Linked DNA regions of Drosophila melanogaster. The protein of the gene in region 1 interacts with the protein of each later gene in a pairwise test. Each region holds a gene or a part of one and is shown on either strand. Other genes may lie near its edges. The genes, in order: CG12116, Gint3 and cv-d.

Region 1 (6,402 bases):
CTTTTCCGCAGGTCTTGGGCAGTTGGGCGGGTTCGATCAGCTGCTTGCTGCACCAGCAGTTGTCTCCGATCGGCGGCAGGTTAACGTCACTGGGCTCGTAGTATCGGGGCTTCGGCCGGATGACCGTGGATCCCTGACAGCTTTGGCAGTAGTCCGTTCCCTTTTCGGAGCACACGCAGGCCGCCATCAACTGTAGGGGTAGTTAAGGTTAGTTATTAATAATCCTTGTTCTTTGTCGGTTCAGTTCTTTAATATATTTGTTAGATCCAAGTAACACATGGGGTATCATCCCTATCTCCAATTGCAATTTCACACAGTGTTCATTGACCAGCAGCATCCTTTCATCTGTTCAATCCTTTTATATTAACTATTCTTAATTCACGGAAACTTCTTGTATCCCTTTATCCTTTAACCACCCAGTAAACAGTGTTAAAAATCTTTCTAGGAAGCACTCTTAAGCTTTTGTAATCACTGCACACTAAGCAGTGTTGATCAGTTCGTTCGAAAGCTTATCCTTGTTTTTTTTTTAACAAATTCACTTTCTTTCTAATGCACTCCCACTTCGATGGACACTAATCGATTTTTAAGTTTCTTACCAATTGAATGCAGTGCATTCCCATGACCAACGCGAGAAGAAGCTTGCAGGCTAGCATGTTGTAAAGGTTCTTATCGGATCACTGTGTTCTTGGCTCGTCAAAAGTTTGGACTGACTGTGGGAGCGGTCCACACGGCTTATATAACCGTGATAAACCCGAAAACCGCAGATCGCCGAAAGCTGTGCTCATGCATTAGTTTTCCGCAGCTGGGCTGCTCTCGATTTTGATCGAGGTGAATGAAATTTTCACTCTTTCTTCCAGCTAAATGAAATCTTCTAGGGGTCACTTTCCCGCTGAACGACATTGAACGGAGGACAGGGTCAGGTTCAGGTATAGCCTGTGTTCCAAATATGCTTTCCATTAGGTCCACGCCTGCCCACTAAAGCTGCGATGCTACGTGCTTCGGCTTGAAAGCCCCGCGCACTTTTGATAATACCCCTAAATCAACATAAACAGACAGATGTGATGCTATTACCCACTGCCACTGTCCACTGGTGAATTCCAAGAACTTTGGACGATACCATGTGAGTGGCTAACAATGAAGTAGGGGTACACCAACCAAGATGTTCCAGCCATTCAAGACTGGTCATTATCCAACAAGCAAAACAGCAAAGTTATCAAGATTTTGGCATTCATAGGTGCATAGAGGTTTATTTTTGATCTTGGATTTGCAGTTATGTTGCAATATATGAATATATTAATATGTAATTATATATTATAAGAAAAGGGAAGTAGTGCGACTTAGATAATCTGTATACTCTATTTTGCATAGCTATTCCCTCCATCAAATGTGAGCTTATTTGGTTATACTACGATTAGAACTGCGTTCCGTTCCCGATTTCTAAATGGGTCAGCGTCATCTCGAAACGAGAATCCGGGAATCGGCAGCAGACTCCACCGGAATATAATAAGGCCATTAACCTAATTCGAGCTTGTTATTGGCGAAAATATAGTCAAAACAGCAAATTCTGGAAACACTGCCGTCTATCGATAGATCTTGAATATAGATTTTAAAGCACTTCCCTTCCGATCGATAATGTCTATAGAAATATGGAAAAATCACATTTCTAGGCAAAAAAAAAAAAACCCCTATATGACACATTAATATATATGTACCTTACGTTATCTTTAAACATGCGATTTAACGGATGTTTAGTAACGAGAGAGTTCATTAAATTCACACGTGTTACACTACCCATGTAATTCACAGGCATATATTATATGTATTATGTAATTGCAAAAACCATTTGCATTTTATTCGTCTACGAAAGTTCAACGACTGAATGCGATAACCTGTTATGTGATTCGGAAAATAAACATATATACTTAAAATAGGAAAGCAGTTTTAATGGGAAAAAACTATATGAATGGAAATTTATTTAATTTGTTTTGCAAAAAAAAGAAGGGACTTTGCTTAGACAAAACTATAAAATGTACTATTCTACTTTCCACATAATATTGTCCCCATCTGTGCTACACTATTAATTGTTGCCAACTGATTTGTTTACAAAATTCTTTGGTTAATCTCTTGCACTAAAAAGACAACCTTGACTTAGCGCCATATCAAAGGAACTCGATGAACTTCAAGATGACAATCGATCAGGTTTTTGGCTCATGGGAAACAGTGGCAAAGCCAAAAGGGGCTTGAAAAAATTAGCTTATTCTAATATGAAAGTATAAAATGAAATGAAAAGTATAATCTATGTTAAAGCATATAGAGCAATTTGTTTGTTAGGACATTATCTAAACTATGTCTATTTACCAGGACCAGGCCCCCGATGCGTAATATTGGCGCACCACTCCATCAGATTCCAGAGGTTAAATGATGCGCCATGGGTCCGGATTACGGTGCCAAAATCCCAAACATTACAAATGGTTAATGGCACGGCAACAAGACCAGACGCCTGAACCCCGGCTTATCAGTCGATTGGGTTGTATAAAAGCCCCAAGCTGACATCCCCACCAGTCCAGAGCGCTTCTCCATACGGAATCGGAACCTGAGTTGCTCAGTCGAGCATAAATATATATACAATACATATATATGCACATATAGTTGGCCAATCGAAATCGGAATAAAGCTTATCAGTCGAAAACAGAGTCCAGTTGGCAAAGCCCGGAGGAAATAAGGCATCAGTACAGTCGTACAGCTTCAAGTGAAAACAAGTGGAAGATTCTTCAGTTCCCGAAATCCTCAAGTACCCGAAATCCTTTAAATCAAAATAATGGCAGCAAAGAGAATGGATTTAAATAGACGCACCTTTTTGGTGTTGAGCGGCAGCTCAAATCCTTTGGGTCAATCCCTGGCGCTGGAGTTCTGCCGTCGCCTGGCCACTGGATCCCTTGCTTTGATCTTGGATGAGGATCAGGAGCAGCTTCGGGAGCTGGAGAATCATCTCCGGAGCGAACTGAAGACGGAGAACGTTAAGGTGACAATCGGAAAGTTGGACAAAGATCACTCGAATGGTGTGCAGCTAATGGAACAGGCATTGATGGATAATTTCATGGCGGATAAGGACAATCAACGCTTCGAGCGTTCCATAATCCTTCACAACGAGGGAAAGGCGGCCACGCATATGCTCCTGGAACCCCAGAGCGACGACGATTGGAAGGCCTATGTCCAGCAGCAGCTCTATGCTCCGGTGGCGCTCAATCAGACGTGGCTGCAATCGAAGCACTTGGAGCGAGTGGAGAAGCTGGCGGTGAATGTGACCTCATCGCTGATGGTACGTCCATTGGTCCATGCTGGTCTGCTTTGCTCGTGCAAACGGGCCAGGGATATGTACTTCCGCGCCATGGCCGCCGAGGAGTATCGTTTCGGTGTCCATGTGCTCAGCTTCTCGCCCGGTCTGATGGACACCCACGAGGGACAGTGCGATGTGAACGGCAATCGGATCACTCCCGCTGATCTGATAGCCACGAAGCAGTTGCTCCAGCTGCCGAGAATCAAGCCCTGCCAGGCCACACTCAAGCTGATCAACATTCTGGAGGAGATATCCTTTGTCTCCGGTCACGATGTCGACTATTACGACACCTTCGTTTTATGAGTAGCACCGTGGCGGTGGGCTGCGTCCCCGATGGACTCGGTTCTAATCTTGGTTGACGATTTAAATGCTGTACATGACTTGATCGCCTTGGAAATTAATAAAATCTGGCCAATGTCCCAGATTTCAGACCTGCAAGTGCACGAAAATCAAGCACACGAACAGGAAAACGAACGAAAAATTATATTTTTATTTTGGGTGGGTGGGTAGAATTTTAGATTTCTATAGGTTTGCCATTCACAATATTAACATATATTGTTGATTTGCTACTTTCAACTGAATTTGAAATTGAGTCTATTTTTAATTAGAATAGACAGGAATCACCGAAGCACACTCCTTATATTTTACCTATAATATATTTAAAACTGATGTTCAAAAAAAGAGTACTGCAGAATATACTTAGTAATTAGTTACTATTGGTAAATTTGTATGTGCAGGCGTGAGTTTATGAGTCAGCAATGCACAACAGATTAAACAAATATACAGAATATACATATATATATATATATATTTGTTAGCTCAAAACAGAAAATGAGACAGATTGAATAGTCTCAGTGATAAGAAAACCCACACGTGTTCAAATGTATAGAATTTTGTATGTGTGGTGTTGCCGGGTCGAAAATTTTCAAAATTCCCAATAGACTGATTCTTGATCCGGGTTTTCAAAATTATATGTGAAAATTTGGCTACTGAATTTGTAGTTAATAACTAATGAGGTTTTGACAAATCTTTAATCTATACAGTTATAAATGGCTTAGTTCGCCTCATTCTGATTAAATGTATTTATGGTTTTCAATTTTTTTTTTTTTCAGTTTACTTTCAATGAATCAACTGTTTTATATTCAAGGCATACTTTTGGGTATTCCTTATAGAAAAGTAATTTAAAAAGCCATAAGTTGCTCAAAATGTTGCTAAAGCTTTCCTAATCAAATTACAAATGAAATATTGTAAAAAGCAATCAGGAATTATAAATGGAGCTTCCCTACAATGTTGCAAAGATTCTGTAATCAGTTGGATTTTATAGTTTTTCCCTTGGATGCGGGGAATAAACATACAAATTAAATTTAATGACAAATTGAGAGCTTGAACTTTATAACAAAGTTGCAGAGCTTTCGAGAGAAGATTACTCGAGTTAACTCTTTAAGATGCTGACCTTGACATTGACTTTCTAACACATATTATATACATAATATATTAGCTGGGTTACTTTCATAAGGACCATAGGTTTTGATATATATGTATATATATATATATGCAAGCCTTTACGGCAAACTCTGTACGTCCTGTCTTCATTAAGCTGATAGCAGTGAAAGTCGTACTGCTCATCTTCAAGCCATAAATTTTTATTAAATTGAAATAGCTTGCAATATTTTTATACAACATTCTGATAGCTTTACTTGATTTACTTAATGAAATTTGGTAATCCATATAGGGTCACTTAAGGATGCGATGAAATTTTACTCGAACTCCATTCGCATGACAACGACAGTTTTACACAAGGGGTTCCAGAAGCAAACTTCTATCCGAATAAAGCAGACTACACCTAGAGACACAGAGCTTGTGTATAAAATCTAAAATTATCTATATATATATATATATATATATATAAATTCGGGCATCAGGATGCGGAAGGTGCAGGCTTTGGTTCAGACGCGCGACGGCAAGAAGACCGTCTACGAGGTGGATCGCTTAGGAACGGTGGCCAGCCTGAAGGCACGGATCGGGCAAGCCATGTCCGTGCCCATGGGCTTCAGTCGGCTGTCGTACAAGGGTCGCGTGCTATCCAATCAGAGCGTACTGGAGGATTTGGGGCCCAATAAGTCCACCCTGGATCTCACCTGGAAGCCGGTCGTCCTGACGGCCAATCAGAGCAGCAAGTTAAGCAAGTTCGGCTATGGCAGGATAGACGATAGTGAAGTTATGTTTACACTGATCGGCGGCTACCAGCAACGCGAAGAATATCCTGGTGGCATAGTCAATCCACCGGACGACGAAAGTCAACAAAACTTCAACGCAGGTGACGATGATGATGCACTGGAGGCCCAGGACATGACTGGACACGATTTGTCCTCAATTCAAACCGATGATTTATCGCTCAAAGGCCAGACGGAACCGGAGCTGGATTGCTCCATTGGATCTCATGGATTCTCTGGATCTCAAGAAGAAGGCCAAGAATAACGACAATGTGTAGTAGACTGTTGTAAATTATTTTAAATTAAAAAGATTTAGTCCTCGTTTCAGTCCTCAATCTAAATTTACGATACAAGCATAAATAATAAATCTTTAGTCGATTTTATCCGTTTGCATTTCATTTCCAATTGTTTACACTCAAACAAATAATTAACGATGGCCAATGCCATAACAATTTTTTAAATTTATTAATTATAGACTGCATGGTACGATCTGCTGCGATCGAAATGCTTCTGAAAATGCCAAAAAAAAGGGGAAAAAAAATTAACTCAAAATAATTGTAAACAGTAGTGCGGCAAACGAAAATCAGGGAAAACATTAACAAGCAGTTGTTCCATAAATCCAGGACGCAACTGGATGCGTAGATTTATATGGAAGAGGAGAGTAGGGGGGAGGGTAAACAAATCGATTCACTTGGAGACCCCGTGTGCCAGGTAACATATACTACTACATGCTATATATTGTAGATATACCATCTATATGTATACATATGTATGTACCCACTAATTGGAATGGCCGTGGCTGATGAAAAGCAGACGCACCCGGTTAATCGGGCTGTTTCACTTTGATCGGTC
Region 2 (8,025 bases), on another chromosome or scaffold:
AATTTAGAATGAAGTGCAATCGGGAGTCAGGAGAGTTGATTTGCAATTTCATGGCAGCGGCAATTTGCACCTCATCATCATCATTATGTACAGCCAGATATTTTGCGCCGGGTGATGATCTTTCAATCGTTCAATCAGGCGGCGCAGCGAGGCGAGGCACGTGCAGGTTGCAACCCGGCAATGGGTAACAGCTAACCCCTAACTCGTAATCCCTATCCACATCCCCATCTCCAGCTCCCCCCCAAAAAATAAAAAAAGAGAAGACAACGATCCTCAGGATGTCCCACATATTTCTCGCTATCTCCCGACAGAAACAAACTATTCGTATCATTTTGGAATTTCTGGCCTGGCTGGGCTGCAGTGGCTGCAGCTGGGCCCAAGAAACCAGGAAGTCTGCCTGCAACAAGTTGCCGCTGCAGCAATGAGAAAAATTTCGCTAGATAAATAATGCATATCTCACGCACTAGCCTCGCGGACCAAAGTTGAAATAAGGCTCTATTGTACACAGGGAGAAAAAGCCGTGTATGCAAGATGTGCTAAAGTTTCAAAAGGGTTTATTTAAATACACATCTTAAAGATAAGGCATTAAAAAAGGTCACTTAATTGGACTGAGTATCATTTAAGAACTGTAGCCTACCAACTTTGGTGACATTTCTCCCGGTGCAACTGCAGCCGCTGCCTTTGGCCGTTTAATGAAGGCCTAGATCCGCTGCCCGGCCATAATAAGCAATGGCCAACAATGAAATCTTTGGCTCCAGCCCAGGCCAATTTATGCGATGGCTTGCAGTCTCTGGCTTTCTGCCTGCTTTTTATTTGGCTTCTCGTGGCTGCGTGTTTCGATTTGGCGCGATTGCTTGGCTTAATTTAAGCCCTGAGCCGTAGAGATTCATTAATGTTTGATTTTGGCTGCTTTTCTATTTACCTTTTCCCAAGATCAAGCGAGATTTACGCCAAATTGCCAGTGCCCGGAGCCTGGGCGAAGCACTCCTTAATCTACCCACTCCTCTCCTCACTCCTCCACAGACTTTTAGTTTGGCCGTTTTCGATGCCGCCGTGATAGACAGTAAAGGCCAACTGCGAAATTGGTTCATTAAATGCAACTGTTTGTTTAGTGGCAGCGAAGAAGCCAGCTTGGGATTAGGATCAATGCTCCAGTTTTGGGCTCCCACGATATACGATATACGATATATGTACTTTCTCATTTCGTGTAAATGTTTTGGAAACAAAGGGGATTCATATATATCTATTATATAGCATAATCTTATCTTTCTAAGGTATCTTTGTTGGGTATATTGATAAGCTACATTTGTTGTAAGTTAATGAGTCTGATAATATGTGTTTAAACTATTAATTCAAATTGATCATATAAGTTCATATCGTATTGTTAAAAAGAGGGTTGATTATTGAGCTAAGTTCCAAGCAGTTTCTAAAATGTGACAGCCGTACGATCAAGCTGCCTGCTTAATTAGTAGTCCGCATCAACAAATTGCACCCACATGCTATTAATAATTCGATAATGGCCAGGAAAAGTCGCGTGGATTGGGAAATTACAGTGGGCCACAAGTTTTCAGCGGAACCACGCGATGCGCTGACCGCACAAAAGAGTGCGGGAAACTTCCAAAACAGGCGTAACATTTGCTCCGCTTATTAATGGCATTATTTATGACTTTTTGAGCCCCGAAACTAATGTGACTAAGCAACAATTAGGCATTTGTTAATGGAATTATGGTCAAAATGCAATTGGCCGCACTTTGTTATTGTTTGGTACAAACATATGATTCTAGACTTGCGTACTCACTAACATTTACATAGCACCAAATAGTTCAGCGATTCGTGCACTTTTCACAATTCCTCACAGCTCACAGTTTAAGCTCATAGTTAAATAATAATTCGTCAATTTCCACTTGCTAGCGTTGCAATTTTTGTTTATTTTTGCAATAAGTAAGACCGTTTGCAGGTAAGCTTAAAAGCCCACCTGAAATACCGCAGCCAAAAAGATACCAAACAGCTGTTTGACGCACAGTGGCTTGAAAGTATGTATTTAGTTAAGCAAATATATAAAAATAAGTTTTTAATATAAATAAATTTCAAGCGAACAAGTAGCAACAGCCAAATAACCAAATTAATTTAAAGAAATTTTCTTTTGTGTAAAGTGCGTTTATAATTGATTTTGAATAATAGATTTGAAAGTAATAAATAACAACAGCTCTGTTATAATATAAGGGACAAATACCGCTGAATATATGGGTTAAAGCACTTCTACATAGCCTGCACCAGCATTAGAAGGTCTTCCTTTAAGTAGTTTATATCCGTTTGCAAAGGAGCGGGTGTATCATTGGCGCTAAACAGCAGCAGAGTGTTCGGAATGAGTCTGAAATGAAGGAAATCATGTAGTGTTGTACCTAAAGAAAACATTATTGCATCACTCACTTGCAGTCATATAGTGTCTTTTCCAAGTCCTCATCGCCCAGTTTGCCATCGCTGTTGGACACCAAGCTAAAATCCAGGCTTTCGTCCGCCAGGCAAGATTGGACAAACTCGAACACATCGGATATTTTTTCGTACACATTGAAAGTGCCCTGAAAATGATTCGGCTTATTACATAAAATTACTTCAGATGACATCATCGCGGAATGGCTTACTTGTATAAAGAGTCCATTGGGAAATTTAACCCTGACTAAAGCGTATCGATACATGCGCAAATTGCGCTGCTCCTCGCGTTCCCGCATCGCCTTTGTCCGCAGCATCTGTGACTGGGCAATGGCCTCGGATCGCAGCTGTTGCTCTTTCTTGATCTCCTCCGGCGACAGGCGATAAAACTCGTCGGGGAGGGCGACACGACATGCCTGCGATGGAAGTAGGACCTTAATGTTGCGATCCAGCTCCAGGGGAATAATCTCCGAGCTCTTGAGAGCTTCCACTAGTGTGGGCAAGTCGAGATCCTTCTCCGTCTGCTCCTTGGTCCACAAAAGGAAGGGTTCGCCATCGATCTGGACCTCGTTGAAGCCCGCTGCTTGCAGAACATCCAGGGCACCCTCCACGTAGCGCACCTTTTCGCTGAAGATTTTGTTGGACATCCGTATCTTGCAGAACTTCTCCTCCTCGGGATTCTTGATAAGATTCTCCAGATATCGGATTAGCGTGGCAATGCACTCGTCGGCCTTCTCCTTAACATTGCAATTGTGGATGATCAGGCAGGCGGTGAGGCCGCGATCTGCCTCCAGCTGCTGGTAGAGGAACTCTTTGATGCGAACCTTCCACACGCTCTTGGGTAGAATCTCCTCGCTGATTAGGGGGCAGCGGAAGAAGACGCCTTCGCAGGCCAGGTTGCGAGTGTCGCCGCCGGAAGCCGATGTGGATGTGCTGGTCGTTGATGGCGTGCCCATGGCTTCCTCTCTCTGGCGACGCTCTGCCTCCAGCTCTCTTTTAGCCTGTGCCTTCACTGCCGACAGCGAGGTATTGAATTCCCTGGATGTTTTCTTGTCAATGCGCGCCAGTGCCGCACTGGCAGCTGCCCTGGCCTCGTTACTTATTTCATTTCGCTTTGGTGGCACATAGGCCTCATACTTTTGGCGGGAACTACTTGAAGGAGTCTCCTGTTTGGGGGAATTCAGCTTGTGGCCAGTGCCCATGCCGCTGCCAGTTAAATTGAGCTGTAAACGAACTTGGTAAGGGATTTCCAATGGCTTGGCTAAAGAAAGAACCCACCTTAAAGGCAGCCTCCGCCTTCTTCCGCGAAAAGAACTTCTTAATCTTGGACATGGTTTCTAGATGCGCGGCGAGTGTTCCTTGGGCAGCTTCAACTTGGCCACCGACAATTTAAGCTCCTCGATTTCCTTGAGCGTGCCTGAAATGCAAGACGTGGCCTTCGTTTAAGTAAACTTATCGTAACATCCTGATTTTAAGCATATTCCTACTTGGCCTGACAAACTTCTCCGTAATGACTTTGCCGTAAATGGACCACGAATAGCCGGCTAGTACGCAGGTGCCCAGAAGCAGCACGATAAGCACCTTCAGCAGTGTCGCCTGCAGATCGGTGAAGGCAATGGGTCCGTTTTCCCAACGAAAGTCACCGGTCAAAGATTCCAGATTTCCGCGCAGATCGACGGCTGCCGTCAGTGCAACGCCAGCAAATTGCTCCACTTGTCGCGCAATCGACTGCAACGTTGAATTGAACGATTCCACGTAGAAATTGAAACTCATTGCCTGATTGGTAAGTGCCAAAGATCGTATTTAATACGTTTTCAACGCAATCCTTTGTTTATATTCGCAGCATTATAATAATTTCGTCAACACTTTTTTCTTTGCTGGTGTGCCCGTTGCTGGTCTGTGTGTAAATACCTACGGGCTAGTAAAAATACCAAATGAAAATGCGTCAACAGCTTACTTATCGATAAAAGTATTTCGCTGCTCTCCAGTGCTGGTTAATTTCCAAATGCTTTGTTTTGGCGCCTGTTTTGAATTTAAATTGTAATTTTCGAATGGGGGGAACAATTATTTATGGATTTCCCTGAGGGTTCTGACCTCATTCGATTTGCCTTGATTTCTGCACCCGCATCCTGTAATTAATGTGTGCACCTGCTATTGACCTTATTCAGTTCCTGAAGAAGTGAATTGAACAATATTTATGGCGTTGTTATTAAGAATATTTTCCACATTTTTAATATAGGCTAAAATATTAAATTGTGTATTTAAATGATTATAAAATTTCAAAAAGTAGCTACCAACTATTAATTTTGCTAAAATATTTGTATATTTAATTCCAAATTTGCAACCTTGGATTCTTTCAAAATAATTTCGAAACCCACCGCTCTTTTTTCACCGTGTGCTTACATAATGATATTTTGTGGAGCACACGCCCATTTTTTATATGCAGGGCCAGCTGTCGTAATTGAATGATTTTCGATCGTTTCGCCAAGTGCTTTTGCTTCCTGTAATTTTCGGCGATTGGAGCCTGGGCATCTCTCTTCCTTTCGCATATTTTGCGATTGATTTTCGATGGCATCCTTGAGTATGTTTTTCGGCCAAGTAGGTAGCAGAGTGAGAGATTGGGGATGCCTATCTGGGGGCGGGGAGATCACGCTCCAGCGATGCGCTGCGGGTTCAACAGCCAGCCGAAAGTCGAGCGGAGGCCAAAGAAGAGAAATCTCTTGCAGCCTATGGCTTCCGTATGCGCCATGCCTCGCGCTCCACTGGCTACGTGGATGCGGAGATGGCCCCCATCTCGGTGTGTTGCTTCTCTCTTAGGTTTTAGGTTTTGTGGCTGCTTGGCTCGTCTCTGGCTTTCTGCAACTTCAATTACGCCAGCAGCCAACAACAGACACAAACAGTCTATTCTATTCCGCTCCGCCTTGCTTGGCTTTATTTATGCTGGCTCATTTTTCCGTGGCGACTGTTAGTTAGGCAAAATGTCGACGACTTATAATTCGAGCAGAGTGTAAGATTTTCTTCCATCGGCTTCGTTCTGCTCTGGTCCGTTGGTTTTCTGTTTCTATATCTGTATGTGTAATCTGGCTGTGGCTCTGTTTGCCATCGCAATCAGCAGTCTGCGCATTTGAGTCTCGAGTCCAAGGCGTGTCTGCAGCCCCATCTTCTGGCATGACAAGAGCACTGTGTCCCATGGCCATTATATCTATCACCATCACGCGATATGTTCTCACTTGCAACCGGGCTGCAACTAACCATCATTCAACGTCATTCCCAGCCATTCCCAATCCCATTCCATTCCAGCCACCATCGCATCGGTTGCAATTGCAGTTGCCTGTCCCCAACTCCTCATCATTGCAGTTTTTTTTTTGTTTTTTGTTTTGCGCAATTAAAATTCCACAAATGCCCGGATGGGAGGGACGGCTGGGGGGAGAGTTCTGCGCACCCAGAGCCATCGAAAGGAATGCAAGAGTGGCGCGCATGCGCCGTCGTCCGGCGTCATTCGCATTGCAATTGTTGTTATCAGCCGCCATGCGCCGAACCTGAAAAACTAGTTCCAATCGCCAGCTGAAGACGTCGAGTTGTGTGTGGCCAAGTCTGCGAAGGAGAGAGAAGAAAACTGGGCTCCCAGCAATGGAGGGGTATGCTGGAATACAGGAAAATATAAAGCTACCAAAAGAATAGATTCAATGATTTCATAACTATATAACCAATTATATTCACAGCTCGAATATGTCATATTTTGAAGTTCTTAAGTTAAATGTTGGAGTTTATATTGCGACGTAAGTATGCTGACTTTCTACTGATATGCAGTACTTGTATTATGAATGTATCTGAAAGATACTCCACCTGTCGATCAGTCTGACGCACCTGTACTCCTCTTGCACGAATTTCACGGTTGGGAAAGCCAGTAAAAGCAGCAACCATTTGGCCAATGCCTTGGCTTTTCTTTTGTTTTCACCCGTGGCCCAAAACTGGTTGTGCCAATTTATGGCCAACATAGCCGTGACTTTGTGCTCGCTGCGCGAAAGTCAAGGTAAGAGACACTGGACACAGCCAAGGGTTTCCTTTCCCACTGACGGTTGTTTTTTTTTTGTTTTAAAAATATTATTTATTTTCTTATCTCGCATTGATAGTGTCTTGATTGGGCGGCCAGCCGAGTCGGTGGAGTTGAAGGCGGGGAATCTGGCTCGCTCATTAAAATTTATGCACAGGAAACGGAAGCGCCGCAGACGACGAGCAGACACACAAAGTCGCTGCTTCTCTAGGCCTCCTGATGATGATGATGGTCCTCCTTGGTGGCTCCGTGCCTCATGCCAAACACCACTCCCCACTGCCCATCCCTTTGTGGCACAATCTTTGGCTACGCAAGCGGCGTGACAAACAGGCAGAAAGTGTCACTCAAATTGGCCGCAAAATTGAAAGTGATGACACGCCCACACAGTCACGTTGCCTTGCATAAGCAAGCAATTGGATGGGAAGTGCAGGAGACGCGGAGTTTACAGGCTACACAGGGAGAAAAACATCTTCATTGCTCATATATATGAAAAAATCAATGATAAAATGTATTATCGATATAATTTAATTAACCATATAATTTGGCTCAATCATTACTTATATTTCCTCCATGTGCAAAGCGCTGTTCTCATCTTGATTGCCGTTTGCAGAAGGAGCAAATCATGAATGGTGGATGACATTAATTGTCGTATTCATGGCTCGCACTCGTATCTATTAGATGAATGCACTTGCTGCAACGCGGAGCGGTTTGCCCCTCCACCAAAGTAACCGAATTCCCCTGGGTCCACCACTTCACACTTGACTTACAGGGGCCACGAAGTTCGTTCCCATGAACTTCTTCTGGTGGTCTTCTGGTCTCTATGCATAACATTCTCCCATCTATCCATCCAGTTTAAGATACCAAGTATCTCTTTGTTGTGTGGGTTTCTGCTGGCAATGACAGTTTCTTCGGCTGCCCTGAGACTTTTGTCTTTGGGCATTTCCCTCAAATAACCATTCACACACAGCTTTTCCAGCTCCCATGAGCGTGGGAGTGAGAATGAATGAATCCAGAGAAGCCCCCCCGCCAAAAAAAAAAAATAAGAAAGAGCAGCAAAACGAAGAAAAAAAAGGCTGAAATACAATCCGCTGAACTTCAAGTGTTCTTCGGATTCGCTGAAACAAAAAATGTTAATAATTCATCTAATGCGGCCGGAAGTCGCCAATGTGAGCGGCAAGAATTTGGCCCCCTGCAATTCGCCAACTCAGTTTGATTCTTCCATGTCTGAATTCTAAATCTACTAATTATCCATTTTTTAATAAAATTGACTTTCCCGCTGTGGACCGCCTGAAGCTCTGAAATATCTCGAGACTTTCCACCACGCGGGTATTTTCATTTTTTTGTTTTTTTTTTTTTGTTTAAAACTCTAAATGGTGTCCAATAAGTCGCCCAATTTGGGCTTGGAATACTTTATGGCATCCGATTCTCACCTGACTCACTCACCTGCGTGGGTCGTAATGATGGGTTTTATGTATTGAAACGTATGCATTAGTTCGTTCGATAAGGGACAAGGAATACCCATATATCGTAAATTCTTTGAT
Region 3 (7,652 bases), on another chromosome or scaffold:
GGCTATATGGTAAGTATGAAAATGATCAAGAAGAAACAATTACTGATCGAAATCTTTTCTGCAGATCTTCTCCACTTGCGTTGTGTGCTTCTCCTACCCGTTCAGCATCTGTTTGATACTCAAGGAGCGCTACTACCAGCTGCCCTCAATGCCCACCCGAGGACATGGACTTGTTCTATTGCTATTCTGGACGTTGGCTTTCATTAACGAGTCGCTGGCCTTCATAAATTTGCGCCACGAGGACTGGTGGTTCCACCTAAAAACGTAAGTAATGCAAACGGCTGTAAAACGGATAATCTATAGTACCGCCTTTACTACTCGCAGGAACAAGGATCAAATTGAGATGGGCTTGTTTGTCACCCGGTTCCTGTGCTCCCTGCTCATCTTCGTTTTGGGTCTGAAAGCTCCTGGCATCATGGCCCCGTACAATCCACATCAGCGGCTGGACAATGATACCGCCAACGAATCGCAGGGAAACGTGCAGACAGGATCTGCTTTCAGGAACGGATGGCGCAAGCTGCGCACCGTCTTTCCGTACCTCTGGCCTAAAAAGAATATTGCTCTGCAGATAGCCGTCATCGTTTGCATTATACTGCTGCTTGCCGGTCGAGTCATAAAGCTGTTTTTGCCGATTTATCGCAAGAAGTTGGGTAGGTCAAGAATTATGAACGTAATTCGTTAAGTAATTCATTGCTAATCTCCTGTTTCGACAGTTGACAGTCTTACCATTGCACCGATCGTCTTTCGCTGGGACTTTGTGCTGATCTATGTGGCATTGTCCTTCCTCCAGGGTGGCGGCACTGGTAGCATGGGATTATTTAATAACCTTCGCACCTTCCTCTGGATACGGGTTCAACAGTACACGACCCGGGAGATCGAGATTGAGCTGTTCCGGCATCTGCACCAGCTTTCGCTTAGATGGCACTTGCAACGCAAAACGGGAGAGGTGTTGCGTGTCATGGATCGCGGCACGGACTCGATCAACAACCTCCTCAACTATATTGTCTTCTCGATCGCACCAACCATTCTCGATCTACTCGTTGCCGTGGCATACTTTGTTTACGCCTTCAATTGGTGGTTTGGCCTAATCGTCTTCCTCACCATGTTCCTGTATATAGGTAAGTGATAAAAATTATTCGATTAATTCCATTCGTATTTCAAAATATCCTTCCGTTTTACAGCCTCTACCATTGCAATCACTGAATGGAGAACCAAGTACCAGAGGAGAATGAACCTGGCGGACAATGAGCAGCGAGCTCGCAGCGTGGACTCCCTTCTCAATTTCGAAACAGTCAAGTACTACGGAGCGGAGCACTACGAGGTGGATTGCTACAGGGAGGCCATTCTCAAGTACCAAAAGGAAGAGTTCCTCTCAATGCTGACACTCAACATGCTGAACACAGCCCAGAATATTATTTTGTGCTTGGGCCTACTGGCCGGATCGCTGCTCTGTGTATACTTGGTAGTTCACCATCAAACCCTCACCGTGGGCGATTTTGTGCTCTTCTCCACCTATCTGATGGAATTGTACATGCCACTGAATTGGTTCGGCACCTATTACCGAGCCATACAGAAGAACTTCGTGGACATGGAGAACATGTTCGATCTGCTGAAAGAGGAGGAAGAGATTGTGGATGCCCCAGGCTGTTCGCCCCTTCTAACTGCCGGCGGTGGCATTGAGTTCTCAAACGTGACCTTTGGCTATTCACCGGAGAAGATAGTGCTGCGCAATGTGAGCTTCACAGTTCCGGCCGGTAAGACGGTAGCGATTGTTGGACCCTCTGGAGCCGGTAAGAGCACCATCATGCGGCTGCTTTTCCGCTTTTACGATGTGCAGACTGGTGCTATCCTGATTGACGGACAAAACATCAAGCTTGTGCAGCAGCAGAGTCTGCGAAAGGCCATTGGAGTGGTGCCCCAGGATACGGTTCTCTTTAACAACACCATCTTCTACAACATTGAATATGCCAAGTTGGGCGCTTCGGACGAAGCTGTCTATGAGGCTGCTCGCGCCGCCGACATTCACGAAAGGATTCTCGGCTTTCCGGAGAAATATGAGACAAAGGTGGGCGAACGAGGTCTGCGGCTCAGTGGAGGTGAAAAGCAACGCGTAGCCATCGCCAGAACGCTTCTTAAGGCGCCCATTATTGTGCTCCTGGATGAAGCCACCTCAGCTTTGGACACCCACACAGAACGCAATATTCAGGCTGCTTTGGCCAGGGTGTGCGCAAATCGTACCACCATCATTGTTGCCCATCGTCTTTCCACCATCATCCATGCGGACGAGATTCTGGTCCTGCAGCAGGGAAGCATAGCGGAGCGTGGGCGACACGAAGAGCTTGTGCTGCGCGAAGATGGCATCTACGCGGACATGTGGCAACAGCAACTCAAGAATCTAGATGCAGAACAGAGTGGTGGTTCTGATAACGGAGACGCTAGTGCAGAATCGGGATCGGAGAAACGCAGGGCAGGAGGAGCAGGAGGACCAAGTGGTACTGGAACGGGTGGTGCCCACTTCAGGGCAGGACATGCTCATGGGGGAGCACGCTAGCCTTAAGTGACATACAGAGTAGTTTCTGATATTCCTGATTCCATGTGATTTGTGGTGTATTGTTATACGTATGAGAGCAGCTCGTCAAAGTCTTAGTTCGTCTATAAGTAACCTTATATGCTACTCTTATACTAATAAATAACGTAGATTTTTATAGACAATCCGCGAGATTTAATATAATTTAAATGTGTCTGGTACCAAATAAATAGCGCAATATTGTGTATTTCTAGTCCTTATTAAATTATTAAGTCTTGAAGGGATACGAAATTGTCCTTGGGAATATTGTAAGATAATGTTATGCAAGATATCTTAAAATCCTCTAAACAGAATGTATCAGATTTGAGAATCCGTTTTCTGGTCCGTAAGACGTTGTTCCAGTGGACGCGGCAAAAATCTATTTATAGGACATTTCCCAAGAGATCGTAAGAGAGCCCAGCTGCCAAGCTGCTCTTCGCAGCATGATTCTTATCAACGAAACCTCCAGCAAGGCCAACCATCCGGCTGTTATGTCCGCTCAGTTTGAGCTTGGATCGCGAACAGAGCGGACGTGTCGAGCTGTGATCCGGGAATTAGACGCGTTGGCGATAAAGGAGGAAAAGCGTCGGCTTCTTTGAAAAATCTGATAATATACAGTCGCGTTGATATATATATTATATATAATATATATACATATATTCACTGATACTACATTGAGAAATCTGTGCGCGAAGTGAAAAGCGTCGGAAGATCTGTGGAAAAGCGAGTGCCACGACCTCGGAAGGAAGTAGCTAGTAGCAAGTAGCAGGCCATGAGGCTACTCAAGTGTTCCGTGTTTGTGTGTACGTGAGAGTAACCTAGTTGATAATCCCAACTGTATCAGAAACTAATAAAAGAATATGACGTAATTATTCATTGACGAGGCGCGCATCAAAAAGAAACCTAGAAGCAACATTGATTAAAGCGTTTTGCGATCATTCAAATATGTTTATATATATTATATATACACATGCACATTTAGTATATATCTATATATATATATATATAAGAAATTCAATTGATAATTGAAGAGTTTATTGCCCGTCCGCGCGAATGCGACATAGATGGCGGGAGGGATGGATGAACACGAGCGGATGGGAGGAGCATCCATCGAATTGAAGTTCAATTTCCCATTTATCTATTTATCCGGCAGATCTGTTCCTGATCTTCGATGCCGGCCATGCCTTCAGCATCATTGGCCTCAACAAACAGATGCTCTACGAGTACGAGGGCAATGTCCTGGTGGGTGCAAAGCCCCAGGACGAGGGCCACCAGGCGCCACCCACCACCGGATGGATTGTGCGGGGCAAGCTGACGCTCCAGCGGCAAAGCGAGCTGGTCTTGGCTGCGGCGGTAAGTTGTCTAGGATCAGTTCCAGTTTCGGAGATGTTTCAGTTGATCTCCGGCAAGCGTTTCTCAATATTATTTTTGTTTATACAAATCGATCCATACTAGTATTTACTCATACTTCTTGTATGTAGAAGAATGTGTATATCAATTGGAAATCGGTGAAAAATCAAATCAATTTATTGATTTCATTATCAATTTATACGATCCAATCGGCGCATTCTATAGCCCCCATTCCCATATTCCACTTCCCATTCCCCATCACCATCTGCAGCGCGACTTCTTGTCAGCCTCCGCAGACGAAGAAGAATTCGCAGATGAATTAAAGACAATTTAACCATTCACTGAGCGGTAGCGACTCTGGAAAAGATCGGAGCGGATTCGCCACAATAAACTGAACTCGGTTGTGAACTTCTTTCATTGAGCCCCCACAGATAATGCCATTCCCTTTTGTTAATCAGCTCTGATTGTTTTGACTGAGAGTGACTCTCTAGGAGTAGAGAGTCCCTCGCTTATCAGTGATCAGGCATCTGGACCTGCGCCTGGGCATGGTATGGTGCATGTACGCCATATGAGAGCGCCGATCTGACTAATTTCTGCTGGCCAGATAAACGGCGTCTCGGCGCGTCTTATCAGCCGGTTCAGTTGGGCTCGACCCTGGTCGATAGAAGATTACAGCATTATTGCAGGGCTTTCCCGGCTAATCGTCTGCTCTGCTCTGCTCTCTCTCTCTCTCGCTCGCTCTCTACCCGACAGCTGGTCATAGACGATGTAACGCTGAACAACTCCGGCGAGAAGTTCCTGCAGAACAAGGAGATGTACCCGCCCTACAAGCCCTTCAAGATCGCTCTCACCAAGGATGGCGCCATCTCACATGTGGTCTTCAAGGAAGGCGATCCCATATGGAGCATGAACTTCAAGCGGGCCATCGCATCGGTGCTGCAGTTCCAGATGAAGTCCAGCGGGGCCTTCGTCGTGGATGAGGTAAGTTATACCATCCGATATACATAATTCCTAATTTAAACTTTATTATTTTTACTGGTAGCTGGGTATTCACGGCACTTGCCGCACGGAGTACTTTGTGTCCAACAGGACAAACTACATCTCCATCCGCAAAACGCCGGAGGTCAAGACCTGCAAGCCGTACTCGGAGGCGGTTCACACTACACGCAGCAACGTGCCGCCCAATACGTGCGAATTCGATCACCAGAAGAGTGTGATCATTGGCAATGAGGCCATCTACGGGATGTCACCGCACAACGAAACGGGTTACTATCTGAGCATGGCCCATGCCAAGGGCACAACCCTGATCCACACGTTCGAATCCACGGGAGAAGCACAATTCATTAACTCGGAGTTGCTGCTCAATTTCCTTAACGAGACGCCCATCGACAATCCCATCGATATTGAAACCTCAATGGCAGCAGAGCCATCCAACCTGGAGCTGCAGCGGCTGGATCCCAACGATCCCACTGGAGGTCGTAGCCCTCAGCAGCAGGAGACGCTGATTGCCCAGGCGGGGACGCTCTTAGACAGTCTGGCCGAAGCACTAGAGACAACGGAATTCAAGTTCTCGGAGCCCTACGACTCCACTCTCTCCGACGTGATCAAGCTTCTCAGCGAGATGGACTTTGATTCGCTCACTAAACTCTATCGGGAGGTGGACATTGGCACCTCCTATCGCCAGGAGACCATTCGCAACATCTTTCATGAAATCATTCCCCGCATTGGAACTAAAGCATCCGTTTTTCTGACCCACCACCTGGTGCTCAACAAATTGACTAAGCCGCAAATCGCTGTGCAACTGCTCATACCCATGCCATTCCACATCTTCGAGCTCTCGGCGGAGTTGGTGCAAAAGTGCGAGGACTTCCTCAATATCGGACCCGATCGCCCGGATGTGCGGCAGGCCGCTATCCTTAGCTTTGCCACGCTCATCCATAATGTCTATGTGGCCAAGGGCATCGATAAGGAAAAGTTTGAGGAGTATGTCCAGAAGTACTTTAATGCCTATCTAAGTAAGTGTTCCAAATAACCATGAGTTCCATATAAACTAATATCATTCATCGCAGGCGATCGCGACTTCGACCAGAAGATGTTGTATCTGCAGGGTCTAAACAACTTGCAATTGGGGAACGTGGCCAACTATCTGGAGCCCATTGTTCAGGACCCCAACGAGCACGAGGATCTGAAGTTCCAGGCCGCCTGGACGACCCTGGCACTGGCCGATCGTCGAGCGGAGCGCATATACGAGGTCTACTGGCCAATCTTTGAGTCCCGAAATGCCAGCCTAGAACTTCGTGTGGCAGCGGTTACGCTGCTATTGATTTCCAACCCCACGGCCGCCCGTCTCATCAGCATCCATCGCATCATTCAGAGCGAGACGGACCCTCACATGATTAACTACTACCGGACGACGGTGACGAGCATCTCGGAGACAACATATCCCTGCTATCAGCACCTGTAAGTCATCTAACTCAGCCTAATTCACAGCCATCCACAGATGTCGTATATCCTTCATTTAGACGCCGTCTGTTGTCCTACATGCATCGTCATCTGCCCCAGAAGCCCGAGTCACGCTACTGGGTCACCGGTAACTACATCTTTGACTATCGCGACTCCAAGTTCGGCATCGGTGCAATGCTTCAGGTATTCCTCGTGGGCGATCCAAAGTCGGACATGCCAGTGGTGGCCTTCTTCAAATTCGACACCGAAGCTCTAGGCAAATTCACAGGACAACTGGCGGTAAGTACAACCTCTCGGTGTTTCAAGAATCAAATAAGCCATCTCTACTTCTTCCAGCTATACATCAAGGCACGTGGGCTGCCAGATACCATCCTGAACAAGATGCAATCGCGAAATGGCAGCGATCCTTTTACCTTTAAGAGCATCAAGGCTCTATTGGCCATGCTGCAGGCTCCGATCATCAACTCGAAGGACCTGCATCTGGAGTTCATCCTGCAAATGGAGGGCAAGACGGTGCTGTCGTACTACCTCAACCAGCGGATGTTCCGGCAGCTGACCTACGACAACAGTGAGTACATTGACCTCTTGACCATCAGCCATGTGCGGTTCATGCCCGTTTTCCACAGTTCTGGAAAGAATGCAGCAAATCATTCGGACAGACAGTCACATAAACATGCAGACTGTTCGTTGGCCTTTCATGAATCGCTACACGGTGCCCACGGTGCTGGGAACCTCCTCCGACGTCCTGCTGCAGACCACCGTACTAACCTCGTTGCGTGGTAATATAACAGAGCAGCGGAACTCGCCCATAACCAAGCACACGCTGGAAATCGATGCCCGATACTCTTCATACGCCTCGGTGCGGAGTCGTAGCTACAATCCGTTCCTCAACCTCGATCACGAGATCAACCGGGAGCAGGGCTTCCTCATCTACATCCCCTTTAGCAGCGAACTGCATCTGAACGAGAGTGGCAGTAAGTGCAGGCGCTACTCCTTCTCCCGACCCCAAAACCTGACCAGTGGCCTGTCCTTCAAGTCGCGGGCGGTGACCAAGACCAGGGGTTTGATCACGAAGACAGCGGCGGCGCCCTTCGAAGAGATCATGGTGCCCGAGGGTCGGAACGATGTGGTAAGTGTTTTGTTGAGAAAAATAATACCAAAATATATGAAATAAATTAACTAAATTTAATTAACTACTTTAAGCATCTGAAAATGGGTAAAATTAAGAATAATAATAAAGTCAAGCTCGCAGGTTCAACTATTTAGCTACCCA

Evidence for each region.
Region 2: the proteins of CG12116 (region 1) and Gint3 interact in a two-hybrid assay, tested with the Drosophila melanogaster proteins (one large-scale study listed by BioGRID).
Region 3: the proteins of CG12116 (region 1) and cv-d interact in a two-hybrid assay, tested with the Drosophila melanogaster proteins (one large-scale study listed by BioGRID).

Annotation. Positions count from the first base shown.
Region 1 is NC_004354.4:8,465,171-8,471,572, reverse strand, and holds CG12116 (uncharacterized protein), read left to right. Parts: upstream 1-2,560; 5' UTR 2,561-2,818; coding exon 2,819-3,640; 3' UTR 3,641-4,130; downstream 4,131-6,402. Other genes in the region: Cp7Fa (chorion protein a at 7F), read right to left, coding at 1-190, 597-653; CG33223 (uncharacterized protein), read left to right, coding at 5,261-5,815.
Region 2 is NT_033778.4:18,656,278-18,664,302, forward strand, and holds Gint3 (GDI interacting protein 3), read right to left. Parts: upstream 5,272-8,025; 5' UTR 4,834-5,271; intron 4,496-4,833; exon of another isoform or gene 4,388-4,495; intron 4,349-4,387; 5' UTR 4,204-4,348; coding exon of another isoform or gene 3,918-4,203; intron 3,848-3,917; coding exon of another isoform or gene 3,768-3,847; 5' UTR 3,763-3,767; coding exon 3,709-3,762; intron 3,654-3,708; coding exon 2,643-3,653; intron 2,580-2,642; coding exon 2,431-2,579; intron 2,372-2,430; coding exon 2,260-2,371; 3' UTR 2,141-2,259; downstream 1-2,140. Other genes in the region: CG42306 (uncharacterized protein), read right to left, coding at 3,768-3,847, 3,918-4,203.
Region 3 is NT_033777.3:15,848,995-15,856,646, reverse strand, and holds the start of cv-d (crossveinless d), read left to right. Parts: upstream 1-3,065; 5' UTR 3,066-3,338; coding exon 3,339-3,369; intron 3,370-3,719; coding exon 3,720-3,919; intron 3,920-4,669; coding exon 4,670-4,897; intron 4,898-4,958; coding exon 4,959-5,931; intron 5,932-5,985; coding exon 5,986-6,376; intron 6,377-6,438; coding exon 6,439-6,658; intron 6,659-6,715; coding exon 6,716-6,947; intron 6,948-7,005; coding exon 7,006-7,508; intron 7,509-7,631; coding exon 7,632-7,652. Other genes in the region: Hmt-1 (heavy metal tolerance factor 1), read left to right, coding at 1-9, 65-264, 325-650, 714-1,118, 1,182-2,551.